Tamandua tetradactyla: one gene and its partners. The protein of the gene in region 1 purifies or fractionates together with the protein of each later gene. This does not show direct contact. Links are inferred from orthologs where the notes say so. Each region holds a gene or a part of one and is shown in the gene's direction. Other genes may lie near its edges.

Evidence for each region.
Region 2: the proteins of POP7 (region 1) and RPP38 purify together in Homo sapiens (co-immunoprecipitation; 3 studies listed by BioGRID and IntAct, with this or other methods). This does not show direct contact. The link is inferred for Tamandua tetradactyla from reciprocal best matches to the Homo sapiens genes POP7 and RPP38.
Region 3: the proteins of POP7 (region 1) and IBTK purify together in Homo sapiens (affinity purification with mass spectrometry; 3 studies listed by BioGRID and IntAct, with this or other methods). This does not show direct contact. The link is inferred for Tamandua tetradactyla from reciprocal best matches to the Homo sapiens genes POP7 and IBTK.
Region 4: the proteins of POP7 (region 1) and RPP40 purify together in Homo sapiens (co-immunoprecipitation; 4 studies listed by BioGRID and IntAct, with this or other methods). This does not show direct contact. The link is inferred for Tamandua tetradactyla from reciprocal best matches to the Homo sapiens genes POP7 and RPP40.

What each region holds. Positions count from the first base shown.
Region 1 is NC_135349.1:8,780,171-8,786,141, forward strand, and holds POP7 (ribonuclease P protein subunit p20), read left to right. Parts: upstream 1-4,369; 5' UTR 4,370-4,570; intron 4,571-4,822; 5' UTR 4,823-4,836; coding exon 4,837-5,259; 3' UTR 5,260-5,467; downstream 5,468-5,971. UniProt on the Homo sapiens protein: Component of ribonuclease P, a ribonucleoprotein complex that generates mature tRNA molecules by cleaving their 5'-ends. Also a component of the MRP ribonuclease complex, which cleaves pre-rRNA sequences.
Region 2 is NC_135333.1:47,446,420-47,454,042, reverse strand, and holds the start of RPP38 (ribonuclease P protein subunit p38), read left to right. Parts: upstream 1-4,616; 5' UTR 4,617-4,743; intron 4,744-4,761; exon of another isoform or gene 4,762-5,101; intron 5,102-7,623. UniProt on the Homo sapiens protein: Component of ribonuclease P, a ribonucleoprotein complex that generates mature tRNA molecules by cleaving their 5'-ends. Also a component of the MRP ribonuclease complex, which cleaves pre-rRNA sequences.
Region 3 is NC_135331.1:138,996,117-139,004,052, reverse strand, and holds the start of IBTK (inhibitor of Bruton tyrosine kinase), read left to right. Parts: upstream 1-4,935; 5' UTR 4,936-5,168; intron 5,169-7,936. UniProt on the Homo sapiens protein: Acts as an inhibitor of BTK tyrosine kinase activity, thereby playing a role in B-cell development. Down-regulates BTK kinase activity, leading to interference with BTK-mediated calcium mobilization and NF-kappa-B-driven transcription.
Region 4 is NC_135351.1:7,329,771-7,336,812, reverse strand, and holds the start of RPP40 (ribonuclease P protein subunit p40), read left to right. Parts: upstream 1-4,036; 5' UTR 4,037-4,115; coding exon 4,116-4,238; intron 4,239-4,468; exon of another isoform or gene 4,469-4,749; coding exon of another isoform or gene 4,750-4,857; intron 4,858-5,653; coding exon 5,654-5,798; intron 5,799-7,042. UniProt on the Homo sapiens protein: Component of ribonuclease P, a ribonucleoprotein complex that generates mature tRNA molecules by cleaving their 5'-ends. Also a component of the MRP ribonuclease complex, which cleaves pre-rRNA sequences.

The sequences.
Region 1 (5,971 bases):
AGAGCTGTGTTCCAGTAGCCATGTTTCTTGATGATGATTGTATAATGATATAGCTTTCACAGTGTGACTGTGTGATTGTGAAAATCTTGTGTCTGATACTCCTTTTATCTACCTTTTCAACAGATTAGAGGAACATATGGAATAAAAATAAATAATAGGGGGAAAATGTTAAAATAGATTTAGTTTGAAATGCTAGTGATCAATGAAAGGGATCAGTAAGGGGTATGGCCTGTAAAACTTTTTTTTTTTCTGTTTGTTATATTTTTCTGTTGTCTTTTTATTTCTTTTTCTGAATTGATGCTAATGTTCTGGGAAATGATCATGATGATGAATATGCAACTATGTGATGATACTGTGAATTGCTGAGTGTATGTGTTGGGAATGTTTGTTTCTTGTAATTTTTTTTTAATTAATAAAATTTAAAGAAAAAATTCTTTCCAGCCTCTTGTGTTTTGGAGCAGCTAGAAGGAAAAATCTGAGATGGTGGAATGGTAGCTCATGTGAGACTTTGGGATCTGTTCTGTAAGTACTTGTTGACGTGTGCTTTGAGAATTACTGATTTTTCTCTCTTTGCTTTATATATACGTTATATTTTACAATAAAAAACATTAAAGAAAATCAATTGGTGGTACTTGTGACCATCTCTTTCTGGGTTCTATATTCAGTTCCACTGATTTTTGTGTCTAACTCTCTGCCAATACCACAATGTCTTGATTACTGTATTTATATAGTTAGTCTTAACCTCAGGTAGTGTGATTCCTTTTTTTTTTTAATTATTTTTTTATTTTTATTTTTATTTTTTTGGGGGTAGTGTGATTCCAATAACTGGATACTGCTTCTTCAAAATTGTTTTAGCTGCTCTTCTTCCTTTGCCTTTCCATATAAATTTTTTTGTTAAACTGTTTGTTATTTATATCTTTCTTACCCTACAGATATCGTGGCAAACTCTTGAGAAGTTTAAGATATACTCCCTGTCTTGAAGGCAAATGAAATCTAATTTGCAGAGAGAAAACTATTGTTCAGGAAATCAGATAATAAGGAGAATATCCATACCTGTGTACACACACGTGTACATGTGCCCCTTATTATTTGATTTGGTGTCCTAAAGGGGCTGATTTAAATTAATCCACTGAAAATGGAGGCCCAAGTTCTATATTAAATAGTAAAATAAGGTTTTATTTGATCTATCATAAATAAAATTTACTTATAGGCTAAAATTTTATGTTCAAATTGCAACAGTATACTTATTTGTAAAGAATGAATGAAGTCATAATGATGATAAATTTAGATGATAAATATTGTCTAAAGCTACAAAAATTCTTTCTGGTTTCTAAAGCAACTGCATTAAATTTAAAGACCAATGTAGGGAGTCGATATCTTTATTATCTCAGATCTTCCGATACATGAACATTTACTTAGATCTTTTTTTCATTTCTTTCATCAGCATTTTGGAGTTTTCAGCATACAGACCTCGTGCATATTTTGTTAGATGCATACCCTATTATTTTTGTTTTCAATTTTATTTTGCTCTTCTTTTAATTATTTCCTTTATTATTTTCTACTAGTTTCTTGAAGGTGGAAGTTTAAATTATGCTCATTCTATGTTTTTAATACTGTTTAGCGTTTCTAGAATGCACTTTCATTTCTAGGTCCCTGAAGAACTCCTATTTATCTGCCAAAACCTAGATCAGATATCACTTCTGAGGTACATAGGAATGTAAATTCTGGAGCCTGCCTTTTGTTAGACACTAAAGCATAGGGGGGTGTTTCTTTTCGTTTTTTTTTTTTCTTTTTTTCTTGGAGTATTTCTTGTAAATGCTTTTTTAAATTATTTTTTTATTTTTTATTTCATTTTCCAATTATTCACTGCTTACATATGGAAATACAATTTTGTATGTTGCTTTACTTCCCTACAGACTTGCTAAATGCACTTATAAGTTCTAGGATTTTGGGGTAGATTCCTTGGGATATTTTTGAATACTGTCAAGCCATCTTCAAGTAGAGTCAGTTTTACTTCTTCCTTTCCAAGCTGTATCCTTTTCTTGCTTTATTAAACTGGCCAGGACTCCCGATAAGAGTAGTAAGAGAAGACATCCTTACTTTGTTCCTGATTTTAACAGAAAAACTTGGCTTTCACCTTAAATATCATGTTAACGGTAGAATTTTGTATATGTTATTGATCATATTTCTTGTTTTCTGAGACGTTTCTTTTTTGTTTTGTTTGTTTTTTAAATCATGAATGGATGTTGAATTCCATTAAATGCCTTTACTCCATCAATTGATAAGATCATGTGGTTTTCTTTGTTAGCCTATTAATATGATTGATAACGTTAATTTGTTTTTCTTCTGCTGAACCAGTCTTGCATTCCCGGGCCCAACTTGGTCATGGTATATAATCCTTATTATGTATTATTGGAGCATTACCAGTCTACGGTTTTCTTCTTTTGTATAGTTTTTGTCAGTTTTTGGTATTAATGGTGAAACTGGCCTCTTAAATGAGTTATAAAGTGTTTCTTCTTCCATTTTCAGGATGAAATTTTGTAGAATCTTCTTTAAATGTTTGGTAAAATTCATCAGTGAAGCCAACTGAGCCTAGATATTTATTTTCTAAGGCTTTTAACTAGGTATTTAATTGTTTTACTAGTATAGGACTATTTAGATTATCTCTTTCATCTTGGGTGAGTTTTGCTAGTCTGAGGTTTTCTAGGAATTAGTACATTTCATCTAAGTTGTCAAATTCACGTGCGTAGCATTGTTTGTGGTCTTCCCTTAGTAGGCAGTATTCACTCATACTGAGTATGAGTGCCCTCTCATTAGTGCCATTAGTTTTTTTATTTCTGGTCATCATAATTGTGTCTTTCTCTTGCTTTCTTTCTTTGTCAGTCTTGCTAGATTTTATCAATCTTATTGATCTTTTCGGTGAACTAGCTTCTGGTTTAATTGATTTTCCTTATTGTTTTTGTTTTCAATTTTGTTTATTTTGCTCTTATTTTAATTATTTCCTTCTAGTTTCTTGAGGCAGAAGTTTAAATTATGCTTCCTTCTGTTTTTAATACTGTTCAGCATTTCTAGAATGCACTTTTAGTTCTAGGTTCCCTGAAGAATTCCTATTTATCTGCCAAAACCTAGATCAGATAACACTTCTGAGTTAGGAATGTAAGCTCTGGAGCCAGCCTTTCCTCCCTGCCCTCTATGGCATAAACCCCAAGCTTGGGGTTAAACAAAGAATCTGAGGCAAAGGAGAACTACAGGATTGAAATCGGGCTCAGAGAAAAGTTCTTAGAAAACCGATCTCTTCTTTTCAACCCCAGGCAACCAGAAAGAGGCCCAAGGGGCATAAATATGCCAACTCCCGTGTGTAGGCCTACGGTTTTCAGATTGACAGTTTCCAGTACAATCTAGTTTTAGGAGTTATCACCCTTTTGGGTAATGGAGAAATTCAAGCGGCAAGTTCAAGGTCTCCAATGCAGGTCTAACGCTTTATCCGTGCTCTGTCTGCCGGGAACGCTCCAGAAGCTACACAGCCCTAGGCAGAGATCCCCCTCCTCCCTCCCCGGGTGGGAAACTCCTCCCCAGTGGTCTTGGGGTCCCCGGAACCCTGCGCGGGTAGCCACCCCACCCTGCCCGCCAGGGGGCGCGCGTTTCTACTCTCGGGTTCCAAGCAGCCGGGGAAGAGCTGGCGGGCTGGGGCTGAGGGGTGTGGGTGGGTCACCGTGCCCTGGGGGAGCAGACCTGGTACCCCAAGCGCGAGTGCTACATCAGAGCGAAGGCTGGACTTACTGCTCATGGGTTGGGCCCGTAAGGAGGGAGGGACGGGTCCCGGGGCGCTGTCCTCGCCGAGGTGCAGACCGACCTGGGCCCTCAATTCCTCCCTCCGTCTTTGGACTACGGGGCCACCTGGGGCGGGAGGTCCGTTCTGCCCACTCTGCCCACGCCTTGCTAGCCGGACGGACGGCGATGGACGCGGGAGCCCCAACTTGCCTTCAGGCCCTTTTGGGATGTCGTTCTCCTGCATTCACCCTCAACCCCTCCCTGCTATCCTTGGGAAGACCCCCCACCCTCCGCGCCACTCGAAGGGCCTCTCCTCCTCCCCCGAGTAAGGATCCCTGCGGGGGCCGGGAACATGGACTCGCCGGAGCTGGGAGGAGCTAGCTCCTCCCCTGCAGGGACTTGGTATGCTCCTCCTCTCTCTTCGCCCCGCCTCCGGGGCGCCCACGTGGTAGGTCCCCTCACCGCCGGAAGCATCGCGTTACTCAAACCCCTCGCGGGGTCACGCGGTCGCTGAGGAAAGGGGCGGGGAAGACCGAGCGGGGAAGGCGATTCGTGGATCGCGCGGTCCTGGCCGCAGTGGGGCGTGGCGGTGGGGGCGCGCCTGCGCATTTCTGCAGCCTTTGCGGGAGCTCGGCGCCGGCGAGCCGCCTGCGATCTGACGTATCTGTGGCGCGCCCCTTTTTTTCTCTTCTTGTTTTCGAGTCTGGGGGTGGCGGACAAAGCCCTCCTCTTGGGCCGGCCGGCGCAGCCCTTCCGAGGCCTGTCTGGGGCGCGTGGAGGGCCCTGTGGAACGGAGAGAGTAGGCGCGGAAGAGCCGGGGCGGGGGCGCGTGGGAGGGGCCTGAGGTTGGGGGAACATGCATTTGGGGGAGATGCGACGAGGAAGAACTAGCGGGGAGGGGCACGCGGGAGCTTGAGGGAGTGAGGGGAGCGGTGAGAGGCTGGAAGGAGGAACGTCGTATGCGCCCCCTCCCAGGTGCATCCTTTGGAAATGGGGTGGGCAAGGATGTGAAGTTCTTCTGACCCTTCTCTGACCCCACCTCTTTCCCAAGCCGGGGCCCCCAGCATGGCAGAAAACCGAGTGCCCCGCGGGACGGTCGAAGTTGAACTGGACCCGGTGGAGTACACCCTTCGGAAGCGGCTTCCCCACCGCCTGCCCCGGAGGCCCAATGACATCTACGTCAACATGAAGACCGACTTCAAGGCCCAGCTGGCCCGCTGCCAGAAGCTGCTAGACGGAGGGGCGCGGGGGCAGAACGCTTGCACGGAGATCTACATTCACGGCCTGGGCCTGGCCATCAACCGCGCCATCAACATTGCGCTGCAGCTGCAGGCGGGCAGCTTCGGGGCCCTGCAGGTGGCTGCCAACACCTCCACCGTGGAGCTCGTCGACGAGCTGGAACCAGAGACTGATGCACGCGAGCCGCTGACCCGCATCCGCAACAACTCTGCCATCCATATCCGTGTCTTCAGGGTCACACCCAAGTAATTGAAATGAGGCTGGACTGTCGTGGACCTCTGCCAGAGCCGTGTAAGGAAAACGCCTGGCCCCTCTCACCCCAGAGGACTCCAAAATGAGGAGGAGGGTGTTGCTTCTTGTTGGATCCCAGCAGTGGGTTTTCCGGAGTCTGTGTGTGGTCTGGAACCATTGCCCTTTGCAATAAAAAGTGCTAACTTGTTAGTGTCCTGCCACCTCACTGCCAGTGTCTCTTCTCTGTGTATACCTGGAGAGGAGGGAGGGTAGGAGACGCAAAGTATTTAGCTACAGGAGGGGGTACCTGAATGTTTTCTGCCTTCACAGACAGTGTAGATCATCCTAGGGTCTGGGTAACCTTAAATGGTCTAGGGCACTGCAGAGGTTGACAGTCCCAGCGTTTGCTTTAAAATTTCTCATTCTTAGAGGAAGGCTGGGCAGATAAGCATCCACTCTTGCCCCATAAAATGCAACAGTGACAGTTGTATGCTTGGGAAGCCTCCCACTGCTCCTCTGGTGACACCAAAAATGGGAGGGCTTGAGGATGAAGGAAGCACATATAACACCCTAAGGGCCTTCTTTGTCTCAGGCTCGGTGAGAGGTGAACTGGGAACTAAATGAACTGAACTGGGAACTAAATGAACTGACGAATAACCCTAACTCCTTCATTCGCTTAGCTGGGCCACCAGGGCTGCTCCTGAGCAGCTGGGGGCTGGGAAGGGTCAGG
Region 2 (7,623 bases), on another chromosome or scaffold:
GTCTTTCATAAGAGTTGGGAAATTTTCAGTGAAAATTTCTTCCATTAGTTTTTCTCCTCCTTTTCCCTTCTCTTCTCCTTCTGGGACACCCACAACATGTATATTTGTGCGGTTCATATTGTCCTTGAGTTCCCTGATACCCTGTTCAAATTTTTCCATTCTTTTCCCGATAGTTTCTGTTTCTTTTTGGAATTCAGATGTTCCATCCTCCAAATCACTAATTCTATCTTCTGTCTCTTTGAATCTATCATTGTAGGTATCCATTGTTTTTTCTATCTTTTCTACTTTGTCCTTCACTTCCATAAGTTCTGTGATTTGTTTTTTCAGTTTTTCTATTTCTTATTTATGTTCAGCCCATGTCTTCTTCATGTCCTCCCTCAATTTATCGATTTCGTTTTTGACGAGGTTTTCCATTTCTGTTCGTATATTTAGCATTAGTTGTCTCAGCTCCTGTATCTCATTTGAACTATTGGTTTGTTCCTTTGACTGGGCCATATTTTCAATTATTTGAGCGTGATCCGTTATCTTCTGTTGGCGTCTGCGCATTTAGACAGATTTCCCTGGGTATTGGATCCAAAAGTTTGGAAGATTTTTCTGTGAAATCTCTGGGTTCTGTTTTTCTTATTCTGCCCAGTAGGTGGCGCTCGTGGCACACGTTTGTCTGCGGGTCCCACCAGTAAAAGGTGCTGTGGGACCTTAAACTTTGGAAACCTCTCGCCGTCCGGGGGGTTCGCTAGCCGAAGCGGCTTGAGCCGGCCCAGGGTCCGAACGCAGGGAGGGTTGCTGGTCGCCGCAGCCCGGGAAAGAGCCCCTCCGAATTTCCTAGTCGGCCCTGGGTGACAAGCGTGGCGGGAGGGCGCCAGCGGCAGCGGCCCGCCCGAGAGAGTGCACGTTCCCCGGGAGTCACAGGTTTGGAAGGGGCCTCCCCACCCGTCACCGTTCTCCGCGGCCTGAGGATTTCCGATCCAATTCTCTCAGTTGGTCCAGGGGGCTGCGCGTGGTGTGGGCGCCAGCCGCCTTGGTTTCAGGGGACTGCCTCTCCAATTCTCCCAGCCGGCCTGGGAAGGGGGAAGGGAGTAACTCCGGCCGCTTGCCGCCCCGCCCGGTGAGGCCCGCGCGCCTCGGCAATCTCACCCGAGCGGCTTCTCTCAGCCAGCCAGCCATTCCAGGATGGGGTACGCTGTCTTTTTTATCTCTGTTGTGGCTTTGGGCGCTTTCTGTATCGTTTCTACTCCCCTAGTAGCTGTCCTGGAGAAGAAACTAAGATCCGCGCGTCTTACTAAGTTGCCATCTTCCAGGAAGTCTAAGTATATAATTCTTGACAAGGCAGTTGTTTTCTTTCTGCTCTTTAAGTTTTTAAACCTACTGCCTTGTTGCCTCCATATTTTCTGGTGAGAAAAGTATATTCAATATAATTGGGACTCCCTGTACATAATATGTTGCTTTTCTCTTGTAGCTTTTAGAACTCTCTCCTCCTTTGTTTTCAATTCAGTGGTCAATATATGATGGTGATTTTTTTCTTCAGGTTTATCCTGCTTGGTGATCTCTGGACTTTTCAGATGTGCTAAGTTTGGGAAGTTCTCTGTCATTATTTCTTTGAATATTCCTTCTGCTCCTTTCTTTCTTCTTCTGGGAGATATATTGCATTTATTGCATAATGCATGTATTGGTGCGCTTAATGGTGTCCCAGAAGTTTCTCAGACTATTTTCACTTTTAATAATTCATTTTTCTTTCTGATCCTCAGTCTGATCATTTCAAGTTCTTTTCTCTGAGTTCACCAATTCCTTCTTCTGTCAGCTCCAAACAGCTCTTGAAACCCTACTGGACATTTTTCATTTCAGTTATTGTGGTCTCAATTCCAGTAGTTCTGTCTGGCTCTTTTTAAAAAGTTCTACCTCTTTAATAAGACTCTCATTTTACTTATTCATTGCTTTCCTGATATCCTTTAGCTCTTTATATTTTTTTCATTTTCTTGAGCATCTTTTTTTGGGGGTGGCAGGGGGGAGCATGGGCAGGTACCAGCTATTGAACCCGGCTCTCCGGCATGGAAGGCAAGAACTCTGCCACTGTGACACCATTGCCCAACCTCTTGAGCATTTTTAGGATCATTTTTTAAAAAGCTTTGTTTGATATGTGCACATTCTCATTTCTTCATTGATGTTTTCTGGGTTTTTATCCTCTTCCTTTGGATGGGCCATCATTTCCTGTTTCTTTGTCTTGTACTTTTTTTCCCGCACACTGTACCTATTAATATTTTAAAATGTTAACTCTGGGATTTATTCCCTGAGATGCTGTTTCTTGATTTTGTAACTAGCTGTTGAAAAGACTGAGATTTTCTTGAGCTCCTCCCTTCCTATCTGGTAGGTCTGCCCAAGACAAATTCAGTGGTCAGGGTTTTCTTTTTCTGGCCTTCTGTCTTGTCCTGGGTGTTTGCTTGTTAGCTGTTTTGGAGTTTCCTTGTTTACATGTAGGAGTTTGGTTGTCCCTCTGCTTCTCAGGAGACAGACCTCCCTCTCCTGGGTGTTTGAAGCCAACAGGCCTTTGCCCAAGAGTGTTTGACTGCATAGTTTCTTACACTGCATCCCTTGTCTTAAGCTGCTTTAGCCTGGAGGATAAATTCTGGGAGGAGGGGCATCCTGAAGAGTATTTTCCCAAGTCAGTTTTTACCAGCAAAACAGGACCAGGGACACACAAAGAGGGTGTAAAAGTGCTCTAAGGAGGGGTGCCAAGAACTTCTCCAATGGCTCCCAAAAGCTGAGCTTTCCTGGCCTGCCCAACGAATGCAATCCTTTTGGTTGAAGGGTTGAGGATGCACAGCATAAGTTTTGCCCATCACTAGTTGAAAAATGGCTGCCCTCAGAACCGAGTCCCTAGTGACTCAAATTCGCTAATAAAAAACCATGATTGGCCATGCCCACACCTGGTCTTGGGCAAGAGTTTTATGTCCTTGTGACACCAGCTAGCTAGCTACGGCCCAGACCCCACAGTGGTCTGCTGTGAGGGTGGGGGATGGGGCTCCAGGAGCCATCACTTGGAGAGAACAATTTACTGTTCTTTACCGTAATTTATCAGCTCCTTCCTCTCACTCTTCCCTGGATGGTGTATTTTGTTCTTCTTACCTCTGGAGTTCCAAAATAATTTCTTCATACAATTCCTGACTTTTATAGTTGATTTGGTGTTAGGACTGAGTCCTGGCTCTCCATACTCTGTCATCTTCCCACAATCCTATCTCTGAGGCCATGGTGAGTTTTTTACTTAATTCTTCCAAGGTTGCCACTGGATTCCTCACAGCTATATTTGTCAAGCACATTCTATGTGCCAGTGCTGTTAAGCATCTTAACACAGATTACCACTTCTAATCAGGTATATTTTAATCACTTCCTAGGTAGCTATTATGGCATCCAGGGTCATTTGACTAGTCCTGATGAAGTTAGGTTTCAATGAAGGCATCTATGTAATGTAAGAGTTGGTAATCTTCATGCAGCAAATATAAGCTAAGATGATGCTCAAACTATAAATCTTGAATTTGGGGGTGGGGGTGGGAATTCACATATATCCCTCCTCTTATAGTGGTATTTCAGTTAGGCCTGTACTATTTCCTTACAGCTTAAACACCTGCCCTAAGGCTGCTTTAGGATTGCATAGTTTGCAATTCATCACAACCACGGATTAAGATGATTCATTTTGTGAAACAAAAGCCTGTTGCGCTACATAAATTCCTTGTAAATTCGTTTTTGTTAATCTTTCTAATTGTGTTAAAAATCACATTACACTTTACCCTGTGTCTCCTGCAAAGGTCTTTGACCAAAAGAACAATTTTTCATTTTGTTTTGTTTACTTTATGGCCAGTTACTTACTATGTAGGAGTTGAAAATGGAAAATATAGAAAACAGATCCCCTAAATGGTAACCAATCAAGCAATGAAGCAATTGAGGAGAGGGGGAAGATATTTACAAGAGGAAAAGAAAGGATGCCCAAGTTAGACTGGACAAGAAAAACAAGGGGTGGAGTGGGAAAAGGCTCACTAAGTTAGGCGCAACCTCCTGTCTCCTGAGTTCTTGCTCTCAGGAGAGACCATGTAGTTCAGATCAGAGGGCTTGGCATGCCACTGGGCTTCCTCACCACACGCCTGAGGCTTCCCAGAGACTCTTGCTCTTGAGGATTAGATGTCCGCTGCTTGGAGCATCCTCAGCAGGAAGAGGATCCCCACTACAGTTTCAGAGCTCAGAGCAGCTAAAGGGGCTCTCAGTTTCTTAGACTACTGCCTAAAACAACTCTCTCCGTCTATCTTGATTTTCATGGTGCTGGGGATTCGGCACGATTTGATAGGGGTTCTGCAACCAGGCTGGGGTTTTACGTTCGGTAGGCGAGACAAACCCAGAGAAAAGAGACCGAGGGCCAAGCCTCCAAGGCGCTGGGTTTATCTCGGGGGGGCCAGGGGGCGCACACGCGCCAAGGGAGAAGTAGCTTCCCGGAAACCATCTGGTACAACCCACCCGGCAGCGGGGACCGAGATCCCAAAGTCACCGCGGTAACCTCAGGGTAGCCGAAACAGGCCTTGGTAACGAGGCATGTCTCGCGAGATTGGCCGTGGCAACAGCAGGGTGTCGCGAAACACGCCTCGCGCCTGCGCACTGGCGCTTAGGGCGCTGCTTGGAGGGTCCTTTGCTCGCGCAGGCCTTGAGGTTTGCGCATTCGTCTCGCTCTGTAGGGCGTACGCAGGACTGTTGCGGGGCCCGAGCGTGAGTCCGGGTCGGGGAGTGAGGCTTGGGGGCAGAGGGAGCGGCGGGTCGGGTTTCCCTGTGACTCACGCCGAGGCGCAGCCAGATGACACGTGGCCTCCGCGGCGGTAGGACCGCGACTTCCTCCCGGACGGGTGGGCTGTGCGCGGTCTACGAGCCGGGAGCGTGGATAGAGCTCTAGAAATACCCGAGTGGCCCACAGTGCCTCACAGGCTCCCGCATGAGAGCAAAGGTGCCAGGTGCGGTGGCCGCAGGAGTGAACCTACCGAGGAAACTGAACCCACCGTGACCGCATTTACAAACCCGGACTTGTCCTGAGTCTTGCCCAGGTTATACCCCCAGGCGGTCTCCACATCGCGTAGGTTTTATTTTCTAATTTTTGCAGGGAGCGTGTTTTGTTCGTTTTCCCCTCTACGGCGAGTCCAGGGCAGGGTATCGTCATTTCTTCCCTAGACCGTGCGGGAGTCACTGCTGAATTCATTCTCACAGCCTTGCTCCGAATCCCCTAAGATCTTTCTGTAACGCCGTTCTAATACAGCCTCTCTTAAGCTTTTAAGCGTTTTAGTAGTTCCCCGCTGCAAGGTTTGCAAGGGCCTTCACCATCTGGTTCTTACTGTCCTGTCTTGACTCTCATTTTACCACTCCTCTTCGAGAAGTCGCTGCTGCAGCGACGCTGAGCTTATTTCATTTCCTTTATGCTCTTTACTGGAACCACCCTTTTCTACTTATACCGCCTTTGGTAGGTATTCTTCATAGGTCGATGAAAAAGTCACTTCCTCCAGGAGGTTTTCCTAGACCCCCTCAACAAAGTTAGGCCTCTGCTGTATGTTCCCTTAGCATCCTGTAGTTCCCTGATCTTAATGGTACCACGTTTATTATTATTATTACCTGTTTGATAAATTTTCCTTATAGAATGTAAGCCCAAGGAGGCCAGTGATTGTTTTTACCGTGTTTAATACTCAATCTTTATGGCCAGGTGCATTGTGGGGAATCCCTAAACATTTGTTAAAATATGAAAGGTGGTCATGGAGGTAAGTGTGTGAGTGGCGCTCCAGGCGGGGTAGGGATGGGTGTCACCAACCAACTGTAGGCTTTTTAAAGCTGCAGATGATTTCTGAGATGCAGCCTGGGTTAAAAGAGCATAAAATTTGGATTTGGAAAACTAGTTGTGACTTTGGACAAGGTATTTAACGTGAGTCTTTTCACACATTGATGGTTATACAGGAATGTTTTGAGAATCTTATTTACAATACCCGGGGATAGTGCTTTATAAATTTTGACACTTCACAGATAAACTTGCTCTTCAGCAGTACCCAGTCTAGTGAGTGGAATTTAACTGGAGAGAACTTAATCCTGTGTGGGCCAACAGGAAGAGGAGGCCCAGCTGAGAGAAGAAATGAGCTGGAGTGAGGCAATAGGAGTCCTCTGGTTTCCTGAAAATAGGGATAGTTCCAAACCCTAGGCTTCCCCAGGGACGGCTTGTTTCACTTCCTTTAGTTTTGCCAAGTGGGCCCGTATGGTACTCAGCTGAGCCCCAGGAAGGAGAGGGAGAAAATTAAGGGGAAGAAAAGGATACATACAGTTGACTCTGGGAAGGATAAGTAGAATATACTCCCTAGGCTGGTGGATTATAATGTTTTCCCCAGTAAGCATCTTGCCAATTATTTTTTAGACCTAAGCTTTTTTTTAATTAAAATTTTTTGTAGTTATATACATAGTTGCCATTTTAACCATTTTTAGTGTACAGTTCAGTGGCATTAATTACATTTACAATGTGTACCACTGTCCATTACCAAAACTTGATTCATCACCTCAAACAGAAACTCTGTACCCACTAAGCAGTAACACCTCACCACATTCCCACCCTCCACTCTCAGCTCTGGTATTATTTTCTCTCTCTAAATTTGCTCATTCTAGAGATTTATATAAGTGGAATCACTTATTTGTCCTTTGTGTCTTATTTATTTCACTTAGCATGATGTTTTGTAGGTCTGTCCATGTTGTAGTGCATGTATCAGAATTTCTTTTTGTGGCTGGGTAACATTCCATTATATATGGATATAATACATTGTATTTATCTGTTCATCTTTTTGTTGGACACTTGGGTTGTTTCTATCTTTTGGCTATTGTGCATAATCCTGCTTTGAACACTGGTGTACAAATATCTCTTCAAGTCCGTTTTCAGTTCTTTTGGATATATACCTAGGGAGTGTAGTTGCCAGGTCATATGGTAATTTTATGTTTAACTTTTTGAGAAACCACCAAACTGTTTTCCATAGTGGCTGTACGGTTTTACCTCCCGACCAGCAATGGATAAAGATTCCAGTTTCTAATAGTCTAGCCAACACTTGTTATTTTCTGCTTTTTAAAATAGTAGCCATCCCTTTAGTGTGATGTGACATCTTACTTTGTTTGATTTGCATTTCCCTGAAGGCTAATGATGTTGAGCTTCTATTTCATGTGCTTATTGACAAATTGTATATCATCTTTGGAGAGTTGTTATTCTAGTCCTTTGGTAATTTTTTAACTAGGCTTATTATATATTCTGGATATTGATCCCTTATTATATATAATTTATAATTATTGTGTTCATTGTGTAGGCTGTCTTTTCACTTTCTTGATAATATGCTTTGTTGCACAACAGTATCTAATTTTGGTGAAGTCCAATTTATGTTTTTCTTTTGTTGCTTTTGTCTTTGGTGTCTTATCTGAGAATTGATTGCCAAATGTATTGTTATGAAGGTTTTTCCCTATATTTTCTTCTAAGAATATTATGGGTTTAGCTCTTATATTTAAGTTATTGGTCCATTTCGAGTTAATTTTTGTATATTGTGTGAGGTGGCGATCCAACTTCATTCTTGTAATGGAGAAATCCAATTT
Region 3 (7,936 bases), on another chromosome or scaffold:
ACCTAGAAGTGTTCAGAACCACTGACCCCAGAAAGGTCTTGGGAGACAGCTGACAGTTAAGTCTCTGGGTGTCAGCCGGGCTTGCACTTGAGATCAGAGTACTCCTTGCACTTCCCTCACAATTGACAGGGGCCAGCTGCTGAAACAATAGAGGCCTTGTGTGAGCCCAACCTCACCTCCTGCTCTTGAGATTCAGCTGAAATGACTGAGTGGCACTTACTTTTCCCTCTTGGCATGAGTGAAGTAGCTTCTTCAGAGTCGCCCAATTAAAGGAAAGAGAAAAGTTCTTGCTTTGAGATGCCGCCTGGGGAAAGGGGTAAATTCAAAAAAACAAACAAATACAAAAAGCTACCCTGAGCTACTTACTTAAGATTTTTGCAGAAAGCAACCATATTTTAATGGTTTCTATCCTGATCGTGGAGGTGGTATGATTTAAGGGTTAAGAGCATGGACTCTTGGAACACATTTTTTGACCACCTACTTTCTTTTGCTGAAGATACATACCCTCTTAGCAAGGGAAATTGCGTGAGAGGGATTTAATAAGGAAGACTTTCTTAACAGAGGGAGGGGAGAGTGTTGCTAGTTGCAGCATGACTGAGGAAAGCTCTAGAACTGCCTTTGCTAAGGATATCTAAGGTAATTGCCATCTGTGTGAGAGGTTTCTGCCCTGTGTGAAGATAGGTCTAGTGATGACAGAGCCTCCTACTATCCTTTTCAAGGATAGATTCCCATGATTATGGCCTCTGCTTTCTGTAGTTGAATGTTTTGGGGGAGGTATATTGTTTTTGAGGCTGTCTTCCTTCTTTTTACTGCAGTACCTCAGCTGCAAGATTAGTTTCAAGGTAGTTAGGTTGAGGTGGTGGGGATGTAAGGGTATGGGAGGAGTAAGACTGGTAGTATGATCAAGAGAAAGAAAAACAGTCACCACCCTCTAATTCCTGATATTGGTAACTATTGTTTTTGTTGGTGTTCTAGTTTGCTAGCTGCCAGAATACAATATACCACAAACGGAATGGTTTTTAAAAGGGGAATTAAATAAGTTGCTAGTTTACAGTTCTAAAGCCCAGAATATGTCCCAATTACAAGTCTATAGAAATGTCCAATCAACGGCATCCGGGGAAAGATACCTTGGTTCAAGAAGGCTGATGAAGTTCAGAGTTTCTCTCTCAAGTGAGAAGGCACATGGCAAACACAGTCACAGTTTCTCTCTTGGCTGAAAGGGCAAACAGCAAGCAAGGCAACATTGCTAGCTATCTCTCTTGGCTTCCTGTTTCATGGAGCTCCCTGGGAGGCTTTTTCCTTTTTCATCCCCAAAGTTTGCTGGCTAATGGGTTCTCTGCTTCTCGTGGCTCTGTCATTCTTCTCTGGCTCTCTCTGAATCTCCTTCATTCTCCAAAATGTTTCCTCTTTTAAAGGACTTCAGAAACTAATCAAGACCCACCTGAATGGGTGGAGACATGTTGTTATGTAATCCACTTTAACAACCACTCTCGATTAAATCACATCTCCAGGGAGATGATCTGATTACAGCCTCAAATGTACAGCATTGAATAGGGATTAGGAGAAATGGCTGCCTTTACAAAATGGGATTAGGATTAAAATACGGTTTTCTGGGGTACATAATTTCAAACCAGCACAATTGGGAACATTTTGTTTTGTACATCTTGTTTGCAGAGGCATTGCAGCAGGTTGTTTCGGTTTGCTAAGACTGCTAGAATGCAATATACCAAAAATTGGTTGGCTTTTATAGTGGTGTTCTATTAGTTTTGCAAATTTACACTTCTAAAGCTATGAAAATGTCCAAATTAAGGCATCAAGAGGAAGGCTGCTGGCATTGGGGTTTCTCTGTCACATGGGAAGGCAGATGGCCAGCATCTATTGGTCCTTCACTACTGGGTTTTGTTGCTTTCAGGTCCTGGTTCCAATGGCCTCCTCCCTATGTTTCAGTGGGTTCTCTCTTAGCATTTCTGGGGCATTTCTCTCTAAGCTCTCTCTCTCTCTCACTGTTTCTTTCTCTGAATTCTCTGAGTTCTGTCTTTTATCCTCAGAAAGGAGTCCAGTAAAGGATTAAAACACAACTTGAATTGGGTGAGTTACATTTCAATTGTAACAATCTAATCATAAGGTCCCACCCATAATAGGTCTGCCCTCACAGGAATAGATGAAAAGAAACTGAACTTTTCTGGGGTACATAGCTTCAAATCAGCACATAGGTGAACTATGTACCCCAACAACATGTGTTCTTAATCTTAATCCACTTCCCTGTGGGGGGTCAATCCCTTATAAACAGTATCTTTGAATATATTAGGATGAGTCAGGGTGTGGATTCATTTGTGAAGAGGACCTTTCAAAGTTCTATTCAGGTGTGATCAACTTAATAAAGGTAGACCTGTTACTGGACAAAGGCAGTGGATTCTTTTGTCCCATGTGCTCAAATGACCAATTCCTGAGACACCAGGGTTTCAAAGAGAGAAAAAGTTTATTACTAGGTGCATAGCAGGAGATCAGATGGCCTATTGGCCCAAAAATCTGTCTCTCTCAATTGCAGTAATTCTGACAGTTTCATAGTATTAAAAGATGGGCAGGTTTTAACATAATGAGTAGAATGGCCCAGACGATGTGATTAAAGGTGATTCAATTATTGAGCATGCACAGATTGATTACATGCTTAGTCACAGGGCATATGTAAGAAAATGGTGGCCTTAGTATGATGATGGCCATGATTTTTAGTATTATAATGAGGTATAGGTGGCTTATAGATTTAAAAATTTAAGATTTTAAATGGGCACATGTCAGGTGGGCCCATTTTGGTTAGATCCACTTAAGATAAATTTGGACTTGGAGTGGGTTAGTTCTGAACTGACCCAGGACCCTTCAATAATAATTAGGGGCTGTCTTAGTGGTCAAATGCCTCTAAATTGAAAAACTGGATAAATGGGTATAAGTGAAGATTAGTCACAAGGGTTTTACAATCACAAGGGCACAAGATAAAGGCTATATAGTCATTATCACAGATCAAGGCAGCTGGATTACAGATTACAACTCAAAGATTTCAGGTATTTCCCTCTGTCTACTCTACTACACCAGAAAGCAAAAAGGAACATCTACACAAGAATTCAGTAATCATAACCATCCCTTAAATCCGAATTTCTGAGCTACAGATTTTAATCCAGATCACAATAGTGAAAAAGGAGAGGAGATCGCTGTGTGACTGGAAATTAGATATACAAGCCTAAGGATTTCCAGCAGCCAGTCCCAGAACAGATTACTAGGAGAAAGCAATCCTTGCTGATATTTTGATTTTGAACTTCTGGCCTCAAAACTGAGTCAATAAATCCCTGTTGTTTAAGCCAATTTATTGTGTGGTTTATGTCAGAGCATCCTGGCAAATTAGGACAGGCAATGACAGTACAGAGTAAAAGGCTATGGACTGTATTTTCAAGAATGTCTGTATAGTAAATAAACTTGGTAAATAGTGAAGAAAGAGCAGTGGGCCAGTTTGTTTACTGTCCAGTATAATAAAGATAATTTCTCTCTCAGGAGCAAAGGTCAAGTAGGTTTGTTTGCAGCCCATTATAAAAGATTAAGGTTCTCCAAACTTGGGGTTCCTTAGTTGAGATGCCAATCCACAGTATTTACATCTACCAGGGCCACACTGTGTTATTAAGAAGGCCTTGGGGCCCAAAAGGAACCTACTTAAATTAGTTCATGACGCCATGAGTAATAAAGTTCTTGTAAACCAGGAATCTCATTTTGTTGCCAGCATCCATGAAACTGTGGCTGGCAGGCTAACTCGTTAGCTTTGCAAGCAGGGTACACTTTCAGTCTCTTAAAGCTCTTCTTACTTTTTTTTTCTTGCTAACTTAAGTAAGAAATTTATTAATTTTGTTGATCTTTCCAAAGAACCAACTCTCAGCTTTGCTAACTTTGTCTCTTATTGTGGCTATAGTTGTCAGTTGAATTATATCTACATACATTATAAATCCAGGCAGAAGTTATATTGCATGGGGAAGAGGAAGTAGCAGGAGACCTGGGTTTTAGTTAGTCCCTCCCCTTCACTACCAGACTCACTTACCTTTCCACAAGGGAGACTACAGAAAAAAAGGGAGTAAAGCTGAATGTGCCCTCAGAAGACATCCAGTCCAACTCCTTTATTTTATGACTAAGTAACTTGTCCAACTGACAATGTGGCAGAGCTGTACAGCCAACTCCTGACTTCTAGTGTTGTTTGTTCTGAGTCACACTACTCCTCCTTGAACAAACATTTTCATGTATTAGGCATTGAGTATATTTCCTATTCGGTACCCTAGTATTGATTATTGTCTACTTTCTTTCCATCCCACTTTTTTTTTTTCTGACTATTTTAAAAATGGCCCTAAAAGGTAGGGGCTTAGGGGTTGGGGCTGTGGAAGCCTGGCATCCAGCACCTACTGGCATGACCACAATCAGTAGCTGGTCTCATGGTGACGATATAAGGAAGACAGTATTATGTTCCTTATCCCGGATAATCCGGGTGTATAAGCGAGTCAGCAAGGGGCAAGGCTGAGGTTCCGGAGGAGGAGGCTTTTGTTTTTCCAGTGACCCCACCACCAGGGTAAAGGGAGGAAACTCTTTTCTATGCATGATGCCTACGTAGTCGATTTCTGCTGTGGTGACTTGGCGCCCAGGGCATCCGGCCAAAGTCTTCCTCTGAATTCTCCACTCCAGGCTTTTCCTCCGTCCAACAGAGAGATATTTCTACCTGGATTGACCTCAAAATGGTCCTTCCCACCGCTTCTGAGGGCCTATAACCCCCAGTTACGGTCTTTCCCCGCCCCTGGCTGCGCTGGCAACCCCAAGGCCGGCAGGGTCAAGCTTTTAGGGTACTGCCACGCGAGGCCTCCGGGAAGACATCCAGCCAATCCACATGAAGTATACACGAGCCCCAGCCAATCAAAGTCCGTCTTATTCCTGCCTACCGCCCGCTCTGGCCCTCTTTCCCTGCCTCTCTTCTCGGGGCTTGTTAATCGGCGGCAGTAGTTGCAGCGGCCGTCGGAGCTCAACCGACCTTGGGGACGGGCACTCCTGGCGCCTTTTGGTCTCTTTTGCTGCGGTCACTGAGAATGAGTCCCTGCGCGGCTGTGTGCCGACTCGGCGGAGATCACTGGCGCAGTTTCATCTAGCGACTGGTGAGAGAGAGGTCGGCGCGGCCCGACTGTGCGAACCAGGCTGAGGGGACTAAGCTCCTTCAGCCCGGGGGCGACGGGAGAGAATTCACTTTCTCTAGGGTGTGGGTGACGGCGGACGCCGGTGGCGCGGTGGACTGCGGGAAAGGGACGCAGCGGCGCCGAGCCTGCCGGGCTTGGCGCGGGCGGCGCAGGGCTGGCCAAGTGATCCTCCCTTAGTTAATGAATGGCCTGTTCTGAAGATGTGCTACGTTGCACGCTTGCGGGACACGCCCTCCAAGGATGTTGCGTTCCTAGTGTCTTAGTTGTCAGGTGTCACTTGCCGTTTGAGCCTTGGACTTGAAGGCATTTTTGGAGCTACCGGTGTACCGTATCCAGCCCCCCCCAACCCCTTTCTTGGGGTCACAAAGTTTTAGTCCGTTCTAGGAACTCTGTGTTTGAAAGCAGGTCATGAACTCTAAGCTAAATATGAATTAACTGTGTGAAAAGGGACAGGTCCTTTTGTTGGAGGTGGGGAATGCGGAGGGAGTAGAGACCTTTTGTTCTTGTATCAAGCAGAACTGTCAGATTAAAAAAGTTTTAGTTAAACTTTGAAATTGGTAACCGAAGCCATCCTTGATTCCTGTTTTCCAATGTAGTTCATGAAACCGGACGGATATTTTCCAGAAGCAGAGATTGATGTACCATTCTTTCTTATGTCCCTTGGGAGGGCGTTTGATATTAGAAATTTGTCAGAAATACAGAAAGAATGTGACTTTATGAATGGTAGTGTTTCTGTGCCCATAATTTGGTTGGTGCAAATTCGCGTGCTTACCTTGCCCCTTCTTGAGGATCATTCCACTCCTTTTTCTATTTTGAAATCCTTGATTTTCATTTGTCTTAGAAATAGATTTAAAAAGTTAGGGCAGAAAGGATTGTTTTCTAAAGAGAATTATTATAGATATTTGAAGAAATTTGTCAAGCCAGTTTACTTCAAGAAATAAAAAAAAGAACATACGGTTGTGTTCCATTATTGAAAAAAATTTATTTTCAACTTGTATTAAGAGCTTTCAGTATGTTAAATTAGATATAAGGAACTTAATTATATTTTTAACCCTCATTATTCTTTTGGGCCATACCATAAAGTTCAGTAGACCTTAAATGAATGTACCTGTTTTACTTTCCTAGCAAATACCATTAAATGGGTCTGGTTAAACAATGGAAATTCATTTGCTTATGGTTTTGAGGCTAAATCAAGACATCGTCAGGCTGTGGTCTACATAAAGGAACTTAATATTACTTTGTTAATTATTATAAATGATACAGAAGTTTAGTTTGCTTTCATAAATGGGTCAATAATTCTTTGTCACATGCAGAATCTGCTTGTATCCTAAGAGTTGGCACTTTTGCTATTGTAAAACAGGATACTTGACTGATAAAGTATTGAGACAAAGTTTCTGTCTCCTGTACCCAGAGAGTATCTGAGAACCATTAGAAAAAATATAATATTGATAGAGCTATTTATTAATTTCCTAATGTTGTAGATGCTTGTAGTTTAAAATTATGTAGACTGTTTTTAGGGCTTGTACAGAGAAATTAAAAAATTTTGATTATGAGTTGCTGTAATTGGTAGCATGTCTTAATTTAATATAGATACACATTTATAAGGAATTTTGATGTAAAGAGCTTTTTTTTTAAAAAACTACATATATTTTATGAGAAATATGAAGAATTATGACATTTTTCCCATCTCAAGGAGCTTAAATTTGTAAGCAAGGTACATACTTACAAGGCAGATCATGATTGCCAGTATTTTGCAGGTGAAGAAACTGAGGATCAGGGTGATTAAAGTTGACTAAGGTTTAAGATAGTGTGAACCCATCTTGTGACTACAAATATGGGTAAGATTTTCTATTACATTATTCTACTTCTCATTGAAGAGTTCCTGACATTATATTGAGATAGCAGTTTGGATTCAGAAGAATAGAATCTAGAGTACTTTATGTTGGTGTGATTTTGGATAGGCTACTTAAATTTTCACATCATTTTCCTTGTAAAATGAAGGTAATCATATTTATAGGGACAATAATGAATCTGAAATAAGGATGAAATTAGTTAATTTTTGCAAGGCATTATGCTTATCTATATCAAAGTTCCATTGATGGTAGATATTTTGTTTTTAAGGCTTAGAGAAATGATAGCCTTCTAAAGATCTGGGTGAAAAGCTTCCAAATAGGAAGAACTATAATAAAAGCGTTTTTTTTGACCTTTATACCAGTATGTCCCTTTTCATCCTTTTCTTAACATTTTTTGGATTCTTATCATAATAAATGAATTTTCTCATTTAATTTTCAGAACAACTCAGGAGACAAACAAGTGATACCCCTTTTTTACAAATGAGAGAATTGAAGCTTAGTGAAATTAAGTGTTGGGTCAGGGTCACTTAGCTGGTTAGTGGTCTAGCTAGGTTACTAGCTCAGGTGTTCTCTGAGTTCAGAGCCTGAACTTTATATATCTCCAGGCTTAACTGGAATCTTTTTCCTGAGGTCACTAGGCTATTATTACCTCATGTGATGCAGATATTTTGGTCGTGGATGTATCAGGGAATAGCATGATGATATGAGCATTGAGGAATATAAGTGAGCTCTTAACCAAGGATAAGTAGGATTTTGAGCCATTGTTGTGGGCTTAGATTAAATTGGCTAAAATGTGGCAAAACAGTAACACTTCATATTCATCATGTGTAAAACATAATTTTTCACTTTTTAATCTTTATTTATTTGTGCCTTAAT
Region 4 (7,042 bases), on another chromosome or scaffold:
GTTCTGAGTGCACCTTCTTAGGGGAGAGAATGAAGCACCCTCGGGTTTTATCAACATATGGACAGTTTTCAAGGTTGTGAGATTGTGTGGCATCACTCTGAGAACAGAGGTAGACAGAAGAGAAAAAAGGGCTGAGATATCCAGAGATCTGGTGGAGGAGGAAGGGCAGAAGGAAGAAGAGTGGAGGAAGTGGAGGGTAGCCAGGAGAAAGGGGTCTCTTGAAATTCCAGAGCAGTGTTTCAAGAAGGAGGAAGTGGGACAACTGTATCATCTGCGTCAATGCAGCTGAAAGGTTGTCTGAGACAATAACAAAACTTGACCATGGATTTGGCAAATTGGAGGTAACTGATGACCTCAATAAAAACCATTTCAGTGAAGTAGTGAGGAGGAAAGTTCTAGTGGAATGTGTTCAGAGAGAAGGTGAGGGGAGGTAGCTTGAGAAACAGTATGGTAAATGGAAAGGAATTGGGAGTGCAAGGAGGTCTGTTTCATTTAATGCACAACATGCAGATGGAAATGATCTAGTAAGGAAGGAGAAACGAACAATATTAGCAAGGGATCATATAGACACAGAACTATAGAACTCAGGGGACATAGCCTGAAAGGACTCCTCAGCCCCAAATATACTTAAGTGTACAGTTTTATCTTTAAAATAAATGGGACTTTTGCCTTCTCTTTCAGAATGCAGGCACAACCCACAAAACACATTCCCAATATTCCTGGACGAGTGTTTAGTGCCAAGCAGATATTTATCTCCCAATATATTATTCAGTTGATGCTTGTATAGATAAAACTTAAGAGAATATTTAAAATTAAATGGTTTGCTGGGAAAGTTTCATGTTGCATTCCAAATACAATTGGTAGAACATTCAAATCATGCTAGTCAATTTGCAAAGATTTGGAGACTCAAGAGAGAAGACATACCTCTCTGATGTTGCTGGTATAAATGAGGCCTGGCAACTGCACACAAAGCAACTGCTTATTAAAAAAACATAACGTGTTTTAGTTTGCACAAGCTGCTGGAATGCAATATGCCAGAAAAGCAATGGTTTTTAAAAAAGGAATTTATTAAGTTGAAAGTTTACAGTCTAAAGCCATAGAAATGTCTAAACAAAGGCATCCAGAAAAAGATACCCTAACTTCATTGAAAGAACAGATGAAGTTCAGGGTTTCTCCCTCAGCTAGGAAAGCACATGGTGATGTCTGCTAACTTTTTCTACTGGCTTCTTCATGCAGCTTCCCTGGGGAAAGTTTTCTTTATGCATCTCTGCCAGCACTAAAGCCTTTTCCAAAATGGTTTCCTCTTAAAAGGCTTCAGTGAGCAACCCCAGCTTGAATGGATGCAGACACATCTCCATGGAAACCACCTAAGCAAAATTTACCACCTACAATTGGGTGGACCACATGTCCATGGAAACAATAAAAAGGATCCCTCCCAGCAATACTGAATGAGGATTAAAGAACAATGGCTTTTCTGGGGTACACAATAGTTTCAAATCAGCACATAAGGCAATGAGGAAGCAATGCTTTAAACATTTCCTATCCTGACACGATATTATTTATAACATATCGTGGTGCCACACATGATTTGGGAAATTGGTTGGGGATTTTCATTGATTTGTTAGGCCTTACAATTTTTCCTACTTTAAGCAATGGGATATAGGTTCTCCTTGCCATTTTCTCTGGGAAAGTCTGATTTTTCAGGCACAGAGTACTGACCTTAATGGCAGATGACTTTCCAGGCTTGTCTTAGTTCTAACTTATTAATTACTCAGCTTGCCATTACTTAACATCTTTTCTTTCATCCCTTGTAGTAAAATGAATACTCTTGGAAGATGCACCACAGATATTGTTTTGCAAAGAATCTGGGCTGTGCACACTGCAGCTTGAGCAATATGTAGTAGCTGTAGTCATGTAGAACTTGGAGTTAATTAGAAAAATGAAATGGAGAATGGCAGAATTATCAGTGTAATCATCAATAGTTACACATTATTAGAAGTGTTTAGAAAGAGTAGGATAAAACTCTGAGACATACTGCAAGAGGGAAATGCAGGATGGGCTTGTTATCATATATACTTCAAACTACAGTGGGTGTTCCTAACATTTTTGAAAGGATCAACAGAAACTCTTGACCCTGTTCATGTGTTATTTATAGCTAAGAGATACACAACAGGATAATGAGGTGTGAGCCATACTGTGCCAGAAATGTGGCATGAGTGTGGTCACCCAAACAGGTTTGGAGGCCAATTAACTGTGCAGTGTTTCCTCAATTGTACAATTCAGTTGGACTTCCACTTTGAGTTCCCCACATTTTTTATGATAGTGGCACTGAGTAGCCTACCTAAGCAGGCCTGACCAGGGCATGAGTTTTTCTGTCAGCCTATCTCAGCCTGCAGCCAGCCAGATGTCCCAGACGTACATGGAAGGGATTTGTGTCCAGAGACATCAACCCAGAGGGATGGAGGAAAAAGTTGCTTATAATAGACAAGCTCCAATTCCCCAGTACAAGTATTTCCATTTAAGGCAGTGAATTTATGGTTCCAGAAACCCACCAGGGTGATTATGCATGGCTTCTTAAGAAACCTAAGGAACTTCCAGAAAGATCCCAGGTACTTTGGGCAGTAAAGAAAAAAGTATTTGCAAAGTCCCTTGAGACAGTGGAGGAAAAATGTTAGATTTCCCCATCTGGGGAATTCCTGATATTCTCTTAAGCATTAAGGGGTCCCAATTCAATAAGCCAAGCCCTTGATTTTGAGGCTTGCCCTTATGAAACTTATTTCTGTAATGGTAAGCTACGCCTACTTATAAACACACCCAAGAGTCACCCCAAGAGAACCTCTTTTGTTGCTCAGATGTGGCCTTTCTAAGTCAAACTCTGCAAATAAACTCACTACCCTCCCTGCTAATGGGACATGACTCCCAGGGGTATAAATCTCCCTGGCTAAATGGAACATGACTCTCAAGAATGAGCCTGGCTCTGGCATCATCGGATTGACAATGTCTTCTTGACCAAAAGGGGAAAAGAAAAAATAAAGTTTCAGTGTCTAAGAGATTTCAAATAGAGTTGAGAGGTCATGCTGGAGGTTAGTGTTACGCAAGCTTCAGCCAGTTATTGCAAATTGCCACAGTAGGCCAAGCCCCAACCAACAGTATGCCTGAAAACTCTAAAGAATACCCTAGGCTCTAAATTCCTTTTTTTTTTTCAGAATCTTAAAGCCCGCAGATAGTTTTTATGCTAGACAAGCCCTGAAATCCATAGCTACCAGTCTCTCTAAGAACATCAACCATTTCATTCCTCTATCCCGCAATGTCAACACTCCTTTTCAGCATGAAGAAGTTGGAATGGCCATTTCCAGATATTCCTGAAGATTGAGAGAACTATCAAATGAGAGGGAGGCATTGTAACCGAGAAAGGATTTAACAAATGATTATGACTACTAAGTCATTATGTAGCCATTTCTTTTTAGTTTCTAGTACATTAAAATAGCCAGAAGGAAATACCTGAAATTGTTAAATTGTAATCAGTAGCCTTGATCTTTGATGTCCCTATGACTACATAGCTTTTAGCTTATGACCATGTGAGTGCAAAAACCTTGTCACTGACACCCCCTTTATCCAGTGTAATGGTTGATGAGTAATAACACATGAAAAAAATAATAGGTTGCAAATATGTGGAAAAATACCTCTACATAAGCTATGGACAATAGTTAATATTACTTAAATCTCGCATCAATTCTAACAAATGTAACTACTGCAAAAAAAAAAAGCAATTACAAAAAAGCAGTATCATCAATTTCCAAACCAATACAAATGAAGTGGTGTATGAGAATCCTGTATTTTATACGTGATTACTCTGTAAACCCACAACGCTTTTAATTAAAGGGAAGGGGGGGAGGAGGGGACGGGAAGAGGCAGAAGAGCAGGGAGGGGAGGGAACCTAAGGAACACGTAGAAAGGTCCCAGGTACTTAGGCACTCAAGCTGCACCCACCCACAAGCTCTGCTCGCCACGTGCGCCGAGAGACCGCACTGCGCATGCCCGAGGAGGCGGGGCGGCGGGGTGGGGCGGTCCGACGACTCAGGCTAGTTAAGAGCCGTTCCGGAATCGCGGAGAGGATGGCCACCCTGCGCGGGATTCGAGAGGTGCCCCGGCACTTGCTGGTCTGCGAGAAATCCAACTTCCGCCACGAAAAGTCACGCCACCGGCACCTCGTGGAGACGCATTACCACAATTACAGGGTGAGTCGCTGACCCGGGCCTTCGGAATCCCCTCTCGATCTCCGTGGGCGGTGTGGTGGAGAGGCCACCGCGCTGGGCTGGGCGGTCCTGGGCGGGGCCGTCCTCGCGGTGCAGGCTGGGAGCCGTCGTTCCGTCGTCTCCTCGGAACCGCGTCTCGCTTGTCTGTGAAGACTACTACTCCCACGATGCCTTGGGCGTGGGGGGCGGGGCCGAGGAGCAGTGCGCGGCCTCACCCTCCCGCTCGTTGCTCAGGTCCCCACCGGCCCACGTGGAGTTGTGTTCCCCGAGATGCGAGGCGGTGGCCCGGGCGCCGGGGTAGGAGGGCGTGGTGTCGGCCGGGTGCCTCTGGTGCCCTTGCTTCATACCCCCGCCGCCGGAACGCTTATGGCTCTTTCCAGAACGTTGTGGCCAGCTCGGGCCCAGAAAGCAGCCTCTTTTTTTATCCGGGAGTCGGATTGAGATCCCAGAAACTTTCCGTTTAGCCTGCTGCGCTCTGCTTCCTCTAGCTAACATGTCATCCTCTCGGGGCGCCGTGAGGCATCAGGGAGGTGAATTATTGGCTTGTCCAGAATGTGCGGAGAGTAGAGGAGAGCGACCCAGATTTCCAAGCGAGTGTCTGGTGGGTCCTTTTCCACTAACCCGATGAAGCGGAGAGGCGGCCAAAAAGTCCACCAACCGTTAAAGAGGATAACGGTTTAAATATTTTACAGTTTAAATCGATCAATTTAATCTCTAGTGAGGCCTGACTGACCACTCAGAGACCTGAGTGGTGGCGCCCGGAACTGACTGGCGTTAGAGCTTTGGGAAAGAGCCTTTCAGCTTGTGGAGCGCTTGGGTGATGTTTGAAATCTGTCGAGTTTTAACATCCTCTCCTTTGGATGGAAAGAGCATCACAAACAGTATTGAGGGCGTGAATCCTAACACATAGGGTCTAATCTGTTGGCTTTTTCTGTTTGTGGAAAATCGAAACATGGAGGGACGCTTTACTTCCATGTAATCTTGATCATTGGACGGCCCCAAATCCTTATACCTTGAGGGTCATTGCCTTTGATTCCAGGATGCTATCAGGGTAAACAAATCAAGGAATGTGCAATTGTCCTGTATTTCCTCAAAAACGAATTAAAGTAATGAAAGGAACAGGACATAAAATACTTTGCAAAAGTTAAAATGCAAGCCATACCTTCGCGTTAAAAATTCTCTGCTCTGTCTCAATCCTATACTGTATGTTTGAATGCAGAAACAAAAACCCTGAATTGTCAAATATCTTTTTTTTCCCCTGAAATTGGTGATTTAAGAGTTTCATGCCCAGAAACCTATAAATGAGTAGTTAGCTTTCATGATGCAGTTTTTTTCCTTAAGAACCTGGGCATGACTGCATGAAAATAAGACCTTGTTTATATTATACTTTCTAATAGGTTTCATTTCTAATTCCTGAATGTGGGATACTATCAAAAGAACTTAAAAACCTGGTCATGGAAACTGGACCTTATTACTCTGTGAAGAATTTACCTCTTTATGAATTAATTACACATGAATTTATCAGCACCTTTGTAAAGAAAGGTAAGAAAACTATGCAGTGTTTGTGAACTTGGCAAAATGGAAACTACAGGTAGACCATGCCACAGTACTTGGGTTCTTCTCTTGTTTAATTCAGGCCCCTGGTGAAAGTGTATATAGCCAGATGCAGACATGACCCTACCCCCACCCCTGTATTTTCATCCTTTTGGAGAAGTTGTGGGTGTACAGAACAAATCATGCATTAAAAAAGCAATTCCCATATACCATCCTACTACTAACGCCTTGCCTTGGTGTGGTGTATTTGTTACAATTGATGGAAGCACATTTTTGTAATTGTACTATTAAGCTATAGTCAGTATTTTAATGTAAGGTTCACTGTGTAGTGCTATTTCATGGATTTTTAAAAAAATTTTTATTACTGTATTTACTACCTACTATTTCCCCTTTTAGCCACATTCAAGTATGTGTTTTGGTGCTGTTAATTATATTCACAGCATTGTGCTACCATCACCACCATCCATGACCCAAGTATTGCCATCATTTTAAGCCTTAACTCCTGTGGTGGTTTGAAGTTGTATGAATCCCAGAAAAACATGTTCTTAAATCTAATCCATTCCTTTGGGTATAAATCCATTGTAACTAGGACCTTTCGATGAGGTTACTTCAGTAAAAGCGTGACCCATCTCAATTCGAATACGTCTTGAATCCTATTACTGGAGTTCTTATAAATGGAATGAATTCATACATAAGAGAGAAAGGCATGGAAGCAAAAAGCTGAAGTCAGTGCAGCCTAAGAGAAGGGAGAGACCAGGAGACACTGCCATGTACCTTGCCACATGATGAGCTAAGGACCAACAGCCAGTGACAGCCAGGCCCAGAGTGCCACAGTGTTGGGGAGAAGGCATCACCTTGATGATGCCTTCATTTGAACATTTTCCTGGCCTCAGAACCATAAGCTAATAAATTCCCATTGTTTAAGCTGTCATTTCATGGTATTTGCTTAAGCAGCCTAGAAAACTAAAACAACTCCCTGTTCCCATCCCTGCCCTGACCTCTAGTAAACCTATAATGTAAATTCTGACTGTGATCACTTATTTCATATCAGTGGGATTATACAATATTTGTTCTTTTGTGTCTGGCTCATTTCACTCAACATCATGTCTTCAGGGTTCAACCATGTTGTCATATGTGTCAGGACTTCATTCTTTTTTATGATGTTCAGTTGTGTGTATATACCACATTTTGTTTATACATTCATCGGTTGATTGACACTTGGGTTGCTTCTG